2 linked regions of the Callithrix jacchus genome follow. The protein of the gene in region 1 purifies or fractionates together with the protein of each later gene. This does not show direct contact. Links are inferred from orthologs where the notes say so. Each region holds a gene or a part of one and is shown on either strand. Other genes may lie near its edges.

Region 1 (5,259 bases):
ATGAAGAAGCGGTTCATGGAGAGCGAGTGCTGCATGGCCATCGCGCAGGTACCTGCTCTGCACGGCACCAAGCTTGGGCTTCTGGTGACTCAGACCTTGGGGAATCTGCAAAAATCTCTCTGTTCTTTGCTTTCCAGGTCCTCCAAGACCTGGGAGACTTTTTGGCTGCCAAGCGAGCCCTGAAGAAGGCCTACAGGCTGGGCTCCCAGAAGCCTGTGCAGAGGGCAACCATCTGTCAGAACCTCCAGCACGGTAAGTCTGGGGGCCGGAGTGGGGCCTTGGGAGGCATATGCAGGGATGAGCCTGGGGGCCAGGGTGAAGTCCCAGGAGGTGTGTACAGGCCTCCCTCCCTCATGGAGGTTGCCTGAACACCTGTCCTTGGAGGCAGCAGCTTCAGCTTCTAGCAAGAGGGGCAGGTGCCCCCACTTCCTGACGGGGGAGACCCCTGTTTTTCCTCTGAGCTCAACACAGTGTGTCAGGGGCACTGAAAGGGCAGCCAGGAGACTAGCTGGGTATTTATTTTGCGGCCACCGTCTTCATTCGCAAACTGGAGACTGTAGTTGTTCCTGTAGTCTCCCAGGTGGGAGAGCAGGTGGCACGAATGTGGTCCAGGAGTGCTGATGACTGAGACCACCGTGGGAGGTTGGTAGTGGTCAGCCTTTGCTTTGAACCAGGCACCATCTGAGTTTTTAAGTGTGTCCTTCTGATCTCTGAGACCAGTCCCTGAGACAGACCCTGCTCTTACCCCAACACCAACAGGCAAGCAGAGGTGTGGAGAAAGTAGTGGGGCCACCACAGGGCTCATGGCACACAGGTGGTGGAGCTGACAGCAGGGCCCCCTGTGTGCCCCCTGGGCTCCCCGCTGCATGAACCTTTTCCCGGCAGTGTTGGCAGTAGTCCGGCTGCAGCAGCAGCTGGAGGAGGCCGAGGGCAATGACCCTCAGGGTGCCATGGCCATCTGTGAGCAGCTAGGGGACCTCTTCTCCAAGGCAGGCGACTTTCCCAGGGCAGCTGAGGCTTACCAGAAGCAGGTGTGTGGTCCCCACTGGGTTGGGGGAAGGGCTGGTGAGGTTGACAGGGCCTGGCCAGGATGGCAGCCCCAGGCCTCACTGATGCTGCCCCCAGCTGCATTTTGCTGAGCTGTTGGACAGGCCAGGGGCAGAGCGGGCCATCATCCATGTGTCCTTGGCCACCACGCTGGGAGACATGAAGGACCACCTTGGGGCCGTGCGCCACTATGAGGAAGAGCTGAGGCTGCGCAGCGGCAACGTGCTGGAGGTGAAACCCCTGCTCCCTGCCCGAATGCAAGTTCACCCATGTCTCTGCCTCAGGACTGCCATTCTCAAGGGTAGCCATGGACAGCCATCCTTCCTAGACAGGCAGCTCCTTCCTAGGACCATCCACCCTCGGCAGCTGGGAGACAGGGCTCTCACTCCATGTGGGCAGCTGGGGAAGCCTGGCTGGGGCCAGGTGGACATGGTGGCTGCCAAGCCTCAGATCTCATCTCCTCCTGCTCCAGGAGGCCAAGACCTGGCTGAACATCGCACTGTCCCGAGAGGAGGCTGGTGATGCTTATGAGCTGCTGGCCCCGTGCTTCCAGAAGGCACTCAGTTGTGCCCAGCAGGCCCAGCGGCCCCAGCTGCAGGTACAAGAGCATGTCCCACCCATGTCGGCTCCCCAGTGAGCCCAACTTCCTTGCAGCCTGCCTTCCCCCCGTCCTACATCCCTATCTTTCTTTGCACCCCCAGTCCTGAGCTGAGCATCTCTCTGCTCCTCAGAGGCAGGTCTTGCAGCACCTCCATACTGTGCAGCTGAGGATGCAGCCCCAGGAGGCCCCTGGCACTGAAATCAGATTACAGGAGCTCATTGTAGCTGAAGACGAGGAGGAGGAGGAAGAGGAGGCGGCGGTGGCCACAGTGGACAGTGGAGCCCTGGAAGCCAGTGAGGTGGAGCTCTCAGAGAGCGGTGAGGCCTGGCGGCACCTGGCATTTCTCTGAGTCTGTCCTGGGCTGGGCTGGAGAGGGGTGTGCTGTGCTGCTGTGGAGCCTGCTCAGGGCTTGTGGCGGGAACAGCCAGAGGGAGGCAGGACGGCCAGTGCTTCCCTGGAACTGAGTGGAGAAGGTGGTGAGCTGCAGGGAGCCTGGGGCAGGCCATGGCTTCCCAGAAGAGACAGTGGTTGAGAGCTGAGTGTGTGTCAGTTGGAGACATGGTCCCATTAGAGGTGGAGGTGCCATCCAGGGCCAGGGTTGAGACGGTGCGTCTTGAAGAGCCTTGCTGCCCCCGCAAGAGCTGAGCACCTTCCTGAAACCCTCCAGAGCAGGCTTGGGTGTCCTCCAGAGCCGAGTGAGGTCGGCTGCATGGAGGACGGACATGAGGGACTGGCTGGAGAGGGGCTTGGACTGAAGCCATCTTGGCTGTGGTGCAGGGAGGGAGGGCCGAGAGTCGGGTCAGTGGGTGGCTGAGGGGCTGGTTTCTGACTGAGTGGTAAGTGTCAGAAGCCTGTCCGTGAGGCCTGTTTGGGGGGTGTTCCAGGGAAGGCTGTGACTTCAGCTCTATACTTGAGGGGTCCTTTAGAAACCCAAGTGGCCGGCCAGGCAGCTGTGGGAAGTTGGAACTTCACCAGATTGGTTGCTGGGGCAAGGTGGATCAGGATCTGGAATTTTGGGGAGTGCTGTTCGGCACGTGGGCACAGTGAGGAGCTGGGGAAGGGCCAGGAGGCAGCTGGCAGGGTGCGAAGGGCGTGGTGACGAGGGATCACCAGGAGCAGGGATGGAGGTGGGTATGTCTGCTGCCTAAGCAGGGTGGGGGCTGCGAATGCAGGGCACCCAGACTCCAGGGCTGACCTGGCCTGATGACACTGCTCAGGAGATGGGGGTGGAGAAGGCCTGGGATGGTGGGAGGCTGGCCCGGGAGCCAGTCACAGCATGGGGATGAGCAGCTGGCTCACGGATGGATGGGGCCTCAGGCAGGCCTTCTGAGGGAGGGCCAGGCCTAGGTTGGGCCAGAAAGCTTAGGGGTGTGTCTTAAGTGGGCAGAAGATGGCAGGCAGGAGCAAGCAGGGTCAGGTAGACCCAGAGGCAGCGCCGGGACCGCTGCCAAGGAGCCCCAAGAGCCCAGCAGCCTCAGAGCTCAGCCTGCCACCTCTGGCTCCTACCTGGGAGTTCGGGGAGCTTGCAGCAGGGTAGGGGCTTCTAACCTTTGCCTCCCACAGACTCATCTGGAGTGGGTTTGGCTCTGTTTCAGAGGACGACACTGATGGCCTGACCCAGCAGCTGGAGGAGGACGAGGAGCTACAGGGCCGCCTGGGCCAGCGGAAGGGGAGCAAGGTGAGGATGGTGCCCTGCCCCCACCCACCCTGCTCAGCAGCCCTGCCAGCCCCTCACTCCCCTGTCCTGTGCTGGGTTGGCTGTGCCCACAGTGGAACCGGCGAAACGACATGGGGGAGACCCTGCTGCACCGAGCCTGCATTGAGGGCCAGCTGCGCCGCGTCCAGGACCTCGTGAGGCAGGTGGGCCCTGCTCTAGGACTTGGGACAGGCTGCCCGGCACAGAGGAGCTGTGTGTTTGGGCAGGGTCCCTTGATCTCTGTAACTCTCAGCTTCCTTATCTTTAGAATGGGACCCCTTAATCAAGCATGGTGGCACTTGCCTGTGGTCCCAGAGGTGGGAGGATCATTTGATCCTGGGAGGTTGAGCCTTAATGAGTCATGATTACACCAGTGCACTAGCCTGGGCAAAAGAGTGAGACCCTGTCTCAAAAAAAATGAAAAAGCAGAGGCTGAGCATGGTGGTGTACACCTGTAATCCCAGCACTTCGGGGTGCCAAGACACACAAATCGCTTGAGCCTAGGACTTCAAGACCAGCCTGGGCAACATGGCAAGACCCTGTCACTACAAGAAATTTAAAAATTAACTGGATGTGTTGGCATGTACCTGCCATCTACTTTGGTGTTTGAGGTGAGAGGATTGCTTGAGCCTAGGAGGTTGAGGCTGCAGTGAGCTGTGACTGTGCTACTGCAGTCCAGCCTGGGTGACAGACCAAGACCCTGTATCAGAAAAAAAGCCACAGGCCAGGCGTGGTGGCTCATGCCTGTAATCCCAGAACTTTGGGAGGCCGAGGCAGGTGGATCACCTGAGGTTGAAATGGAGACCAGTCTGGCCAACATGGTGAAACCCCGTCTCTACTAAAAAAAGAAAATTAGCCAGGTGTGGTGGCACGCACCTGTGGTCCCAGGTACTTGGGAGGCTGAGGCAGGAGAATCTCTTTTCTTTTTTTTTTTTTTTAGACGGAGTTTCGCTGTTGTTACCCAGACTGGAGTGCAATGGCACGATCTGGGCTCACCGCAACCTCTGCCTCCTGGGTTCAAGCAGTTCTCCTGCCTCAGCCTCCCCAGTAGCTGGGACTACAGACACGCATCACCATGCCCAGCTAATTTTTGTATTTTTAGTAGAGACGGGGTTTTCACCTTGTTGACCAGGATGGTCTCGATCTCTTGACCTCGTGATCCACCTGCCTCAGCCTCCCAAAGTGCTGGGATTATAAGCGTGATCCACTGCGCCCGGCCAGGAGAATCTCTTGAACCCAGGAGGTGGAGGTTGCAGTGAGCCGATATTGCACCAGTGCACTCCAGCCTGGGTGACAGAGCAAGACTCCATCTAAGAAAAGAAAGAAGAGCCACAAAATAATGGCGTGCAGCTGGGCACGGTGGTGGCTCAGCACTTTGGGAGCCCGAGGCAGGTGGATCACCTGAGGTCGGGAGTTCGAGACCAGCCTGACCAACATGGAGAAACCCCAACTCTACTAAAAAAAAAAAAAAAAATTAGCTGGGCATGGTGGCACATGCCTGTAATCCCAGCTACTTGGGAAGCTGAGGCAGGAGGCTCGCTTGAACTCAGGGGCTGGAGGTTGCAGTGAGCCCAGAGCACACCATTGCACTCCAGCCTGGGCAACAAGAGCAAAACTCCGTCTAAAACAAAAACGAGGAGTGCCTGGAGTATGGTACGTATCTGTGCTGCAGCTAAGTTGGTTGGCTTGGCCAGGATGGAGACTAGCCCGTAGGCTGAGACCTGGGCACCTTCCTGTGCTGCCTGCCTCATACCCTGTGACTGGGTGGGCTGTCCTCCCACAAGGGGACCAGGCAGGCACAGAGGCTGAGGGTATGCTGTGGCTGGTCCACCTGTCTCGAGAAGCGTGCCCTTCTGGAGGAGGAGAGTGCAGAGCCATGGGACTTGGTCTGGGCTCTAAGACTAAGGCCTTGGGC
Region 2 (5,881 bases), on another chromosome or scaffold:
GAGTCACCGAAGTTGTTCAGCAACAGGTACTATTGATTGCCTCTGAAACCAGAGAGATGCTGTCACAGTTCTTTTTTTCCAACAGCATACCAGTTAAATTAGAAATATGCCAGGGCACATCTCAGGAATCCTTTCAGTCTCTGCTGTAAGGTTGTGTCAGTGGTGAGGAAACTATTGAACAAAGTACTCAAAGACCCTTTAATATTTTTGACAAGCAGTAATAAAAGAGTTAAGACAGGGCCGGATGTGATGCCTCACACCCATAATCCCAGCACTTTGGGAGGCTGAGGCAGGAGGATCACTTGAGGTCAGGAGTTAAAGACCAGCCTGACTAACATGGAGAAACCCCGTCTCTACTAAAAATACAAAATTAGCCAGGCGTGGTGGCACATGCCTGTAATCCCAGCTACTCAGGAGGCTGAGGCAAGAGAATTGCTTTAACCCGGGAGGCAGCGGTTGCTGTGAGCCAAGATAGCACCATTGCACTCCACTCCAGGCTGGGAAACAAGAGGGAAACTCCGTCTCAAAAAAAAAAAAAGAGTTAAGACAGGAAAAGCAGTATGAGAGGGCTGGAGCTAATTCTTGCAGCTTCCAGTGAAATATCAGGGAGTTTTTTTCTTCTTAAATACTGTTGTATATGACATGTTAAACAAACAAACAAAAAGCCAAATTAGTGGCATCCAGGTAGATCTTCTCAGTTCTTCCCTTCATGCTGCATATCTACCAAAAGTGAGTTTATGACTGATCTCATTGTAACACTTACGGTCAGACTGCAAAATGCACCTGATTTTAACAAGCACAAAATGTCATTTTTATGAGAGTAACTAGATTCTCAAGAGTACCTGTAATAATCAGACAACTGCATACACTAGTCTCACAGGAGTTTCAATCTTCAAATGGTCATTTTATCTTACATAAAATAGTGTCTTACAGCATACAGCAATTTCCACTTTATCGTAGCTAGTGTTAGGACCAGCCCTAATAAGAATGAAGAGTGTATTGTTTATCAGTCACAGAAATCTGCGTCTATCCCCATGGTTTGACTCTTAATACTCTAATGTCACAAACAACTGGGTTTGAAGGTCTTTTCTGGTAGGTCCTATATCTAACTGTTCAATCCACTGACAAAAAAGGAACTCTTCCCCACTCTGACATGGTTTTCCTAAATGTAAGAGGCGCTGATATTAGCTGTCTCACATTAACTTTCAAAAGACCATCAGATGAAAACGTTTCATTAAAAGGCACCTACTTAAGTACGAACAATGCCCAAAGAATGACAAATCAAAATTCTGGGCACTATACTAAGAGAAAATTCTTCCAAAACAGATACTTAAGAATTTTTCTCTCTGAATTTGGCCAAGTTTGGTGGTTTCATTCACAACATTTAAGGAAAAAAGTGATGGTTTATGGATAGCAGGTAATAAAACAACCCTTTACATCACTTACTAAATAGAAACGGTTTAGGCTCACAGACATGTTAAAGCTTCCTCTTTCCCTGCAATGGTAGTCAAGCCGCATAAACGAATCAACGTTTCCTCAGTTCAAACCCGAACTGGTTACAGGCAAGCAAGGGCTCCTGAGAATTTGCTTGCTGTGCTACAAATTTTTATTTACTAACGGTTTAGGTCAAGAATTTTTTTTTGAAGATCAAATGTCTTGCTATGCCTTTGTGTTCTTTTCCCATCTGTTATGTTTGTTGCCCTGTTGGTCTCCTGACACTTCCATTTTCTGTTCTCTCCAAATGGCTGTAACCTGGGGTATAACTAATCACATCGCTTGTGATTCTTTTCTTATTCTAGGACTTTCCAGATCTGGACTCGGAAGACGACGCCCAGGTGCAAGCCCAAAGGTTACCTATTTAGATTTTCCAAGCACAGTGTGTGGAAAATCATTCCTCGCCCTTCATTTTGTGTCTGCTTAACGGCGCTGTCGTGCCCAAACGTAGATACTGGCCAAGAGCTAGATTTCCAAAATGGCTTTGCTCCTTTCGAGCCGACATCGGTCTTTAACATGCAATTTATTTCCACTGCAGCTAATCATTCTCTCTACTCCAAATACTACCCGATACACAGAAAGCTGAACCTAACCCAGTGTAAACACGGACTCTCATCTGCTAAATTCAGCAAGGCCGTCAGAGCCTTTGCACCGATGTAAAAAAAAAAAAAAAAGAAAAAAAAGCGTTAAAACAAAAAACCAAAAAACAAAAAACGCCAAAACACCTCACACGAAACCAACTAGAGGGGCGGGCGTCGCCCGGATCGCGCCCTCCCGCCACGGCCACGCCTCCCCGCCGCGGCCACGCCCCTCGCCTCTCTCCGCGACGCCGGCGGCGGCCTCCGCGCGGGCCTCCCAGCCCTTATTCCACTCACTTTGTTCTCCGCCTTTGTCCTAATCCACACCAGCAGGTGGAGCCGCAGTTAAAGTTTCCGAGTCCATTCCGGGAGCGGGAGCCCATCTTGCTGGCTGCCGAGGCACTCGCTGGAGGAGGAGGGTCAGAGCTCGGGTGCAGCCAATCGAGGGCAACGCTGCTACTTATCAGAGCAGAATGGGCTGTAGTTTAGTGAAATAGGAAAGCTGCAAAACACTGTGGAGTGTTCCCGTGTAAATAAAAAGAGGGAAAAAAAAGTTTCTCAAGTCGCCGCTGCACGACGTCGGGCCGGCGCTGGGGCGGGGGTCTGCGCTCTCCCGGGCGGCCGCGCGCTGGACTTTATTGTGCCGCAACCAGCCCCAGTTCCCATTGTTTGTGTTTTTTTCAAAATATGGCAAAGGTTCAGGTGAACAATGTAGTGGTGCTGGATAATCCTTCTCCTTTCTACAACCCGTTCCAGTTCGAGATCACCTTCGAGTGCATCGAGGACCTGTCTGAAGGTGAGTGCGGCGCCCGCGCACCCGGGCTGTCAGTTGCGGGCTGCAGACGTTGAAAGTTTCCCGGGCCCGGCCTCGCGCTGGGCGGCCGTGCTCGGCGCCGGGCGGCCGCGGGCTCCTCTGCGGAGGGAAACTTGAAGTTGATGGACGACGGCAGCCGAGGCGCGCGCGGCGTTCCGCCGCAGCCCAGGCGTCTGCCGGGCTCAACTTGCGAGGAACTTGTTTGAGCCGAGGAGCGGAGGTAGCCATGTTGTCAGCTTTGTCTGCGAGCGGGCAGCTCGGAGACCGGCACTCGCGCCCGCGGCGCCGCCGGGGGTCGCGCGGGGCTGGCTCCACGACCAGCCTCCACGACCCTCCGGGCTTGGGCACGGAGGCTGGGAAGGGAGAGGCTGTGCGTGTAGTAGCGCCGGCGAGTTCGGAGCGGAGCCATCTTACCCCGAGTCGAGAATTGGGCCAGCGACCCCGGCGCACGGCGCCTTCTCTTGCCCCGCCGCCCGCCTGCCCTCCAGCCCCTGGCGAAAGGCAGGTAGTCAACTCTCTAGAGCTCACAGTGGAGTCGCCTCACTCTCCGGGCTGGCCATGCCCGGCCGCTTCAGAGAGGAGAGCGAGGCTGTCCTCGCGCTGATTTCTGGCTCCCTCGACCAACCAGCAGGGGAGGCGGGCACAGGCTCGGCCCCTCCGCGCCGCGGGCTGGGCGCCGGCGTTCCCCGGGGGCCGCGGGTCCTGTTCGGCCGGTCCTCCTCGGCCGGCGCCCGGGATGCGCCGGGATGCTGGCGCGCAGGCTCCCCAACCAACGTGGACTCCTTTCCCCTAATGACGAAAAGCTAATCTCAGGAAGAGAAATAAGAGCTGAGCTAGGAAGTTACATTTAACCTAAGAGCAGAAATTGGATACTTAAATAATTTCAGGACTTAATCTTTGCCTTCTAAATAGTCTTTAAGACTTTCTTCAAGGACGTGTTGAAATCTAAAATAACTCCACATCCAGATACACAACACACCCTGAACATGAAACACAAACGTAGGCTAGAAAATTAAGGTAAAATACTTAGTCCAAGAATTCTTTATATTTTTTTCTACATGTTTCAAGGTCTTAAAAATACGTATTTTAAAATATGTGTAGTAATATTTAGAAAGCTAAAACGACAATTATCCTTGCTTTTATTTTACTAAAGTAATTCAGTGCTTAATTTGCCAGTTTTGAAGGGGAAAAAGTTTAACTTCATCGATGAGGGACATCTTTGAATTAGAAGTATATTTTTAAAATGCATTGAAGATTTGGCTAATCATAGCATGTAAAACTATTTTCATTTTAAAAACTAGTTTTTAATCTCTAAAATGTATATATCTTATGTGAGTTGTTAACTTTATAAAAACAATATATGTTCATTGTAATAAACTTATAGAAAGTTGTACAGGCATATATAAAGTTAACAGTTCTCTGTGTTAAATACCTTCCCCTATCTCACTCCTTTAGGTAATCACAATTATTACTTTAACATGTGTGCCTCTGTTTTTTAAGACCTATGCAGAGCATAAATACACATATAGGGCAAATTTTAAAAGATAATTCATTTATTAAAATAATTTCAAATAGGCCATTGATAACATTAAGGGGTATTTTTCGTATTACTCTGAAGTCATCTGATTATTCTCTTACGATACTACTATTAATATAAGCATTGCAGCTACCAGCACCATTTTTCACACCCAACAGTCAGTAAATTTTTCTTTTTTATTGCCAATTGCATATAAAAACAGACAAAAGAAAAATCATTGGTCAGTCCATTCCAAATTATACCACAGTGTTCTTCAAATATACCACCAGAAGTTCTTCAAATTACAGGTATTTCTCAAGTGATGCCTTCCATTTTAGGAGTCAGCTCTGAACAAAGAAGATAGATGACTCAGGATGTCGTTATAGATGAAACCAGCCATTCATAGAAGCCAAAACATGTTCCATTTTTAAGTGGGATCCATTCAGAACCCAGCTGAATCACATCAGGGTTTTACAGTACTGGTGTCAAGAATATGCTTATTTCCAATGGTATATTTCACTTCCAAGGCACCATTACTGAGTATTTAGTATTTTAAAAAATATTTTAAGCTGAGTCATGCCAAAGCTGCAAAGGAATCTTTCAAAAAGGGGCCATGACTGTGTACTCCACCTAGAGGCTATGTGGATTTAGGAAATGAGTTTACTTAGCAAAGGTTTCTTATAGGTTCCATACTTTTATATTATAGTTTTTTTAAAAAAAAATTCTTAAACTATAGAAAAAATTTTTCTTTTAAATGAGACAGGGTCTCACTGTGTCACTCAGGCTGGGTGGAGTGCAGTGGTGCAAACACAGCTCCCTACAATCTCAATCAGTCCTCCCACCTCAGCCTCCTGAGTAGCTGAGAAGACGGTCAATGTACCACCATATCAGGCTAATTTTTTAGTTTTTTGTAGAAATGGAGTCTTGCCATGTTACCCAAGCTTGTCTCGAACCTCTGGACTCAAGCAGTCCTCCCACCCCTGCCTCCCAAAGTTTTGTGATTATAATCACTGCATCCAGCCCAAATTATAGAATATTTTGAAAAGAATTTTCTTTATGAGTTACTTTGTCTCAAGTCTCAAAGCGGAGTTTGGCCACCATTTTTCATACTTTTGTTAATAGCCCCCAAACATTCACTCTCCTAGACCTGCCCTGTAGCTTTGCTTCAGAAAAAGCCTTGAGGAATATCTGTTCTTAAGATAATTTGGTTCTAATATAAGGCTTATATTAGGAGTTAAAACAGTCTTTAAAAATGGGAGGTGCTGAGGCTTTAATGTCTGAGAGATAGAAGACCCTGGATGTGCTTGATGGTCAACGACACCTATACAGGTTTTGATTGACCATCCTGCCATTCTTAAGTTTACATCTTCATTACAACTACTCTCAATTGAATACTTAAATACTAAAATTGAGCATGGTGCTTCATACTTTCCAACTTCAGTTTGTTCTAATTCCAAAGCCTAGATACTTTCCACTAGA

What was found. The genes of interacting proteins can lie anywhere in the genome.
Region 2: the proteins of TONSL (region 1) and ASF1A purify together in Homo sapiens (affinity purification with mass spectrometry; 4 studies listed by BioGRID and IntAct, counting the BioPlex papers as one, with this or other methods). This does not show direct contact. The link is inferred for Callithrix jacchus from reciprocal best matches to the Homo sapiens genes TONSL and ASF1A.

The regions. Positions count from the first base shown.
Region 1 is NC_133517.1:53,193,965-53,199,223, forward strand, and holds part of TONSL (tonsoku-like protein), read left to right. Parts: coding exon 1-48; intron 49-137; coding exon 138-252; intron 253-885; coding exon 886-1,031; intron 1,032-1,125; coding exon 1,126-1,278; intron 1,279-1,519; coding exon 1,520-1,645; intron 1,646-1,778; coding exon 1,779-1,965; intron 1,966-3,243; coding exon 3,244-3,326; intron 3,327-3,418; coding exon 3,419-3,508; intron 3,509-5,259. UniProt on the Homo sapiens protein: Component of the MMS22L-TONSL complex, a complex that promotes homologous recombination-mediated repair of double-strand breaks (DSBs) at stalled or collapsed replication forks.
Region 2 is NC_133505.1:125,223,829-125,229,709, forward strand, and holds the start of ASF1A (histone chaperone ASF1A), read left to right. Parts: upstream 1-2,511; 5' UTR 2,512-2,759; coding exon 2,760-2,868; intron 2,869-4,421; exon of another isoform or gene 4,422-4,717; coding exon of another isoform or gene 4,718-4,749; intron 4,750-5,881. UniProt on the Homo sapiens protein: Histone chaperone that facilitates histone deposition and histone exchange and removal during nucleosome assembly and disassembly.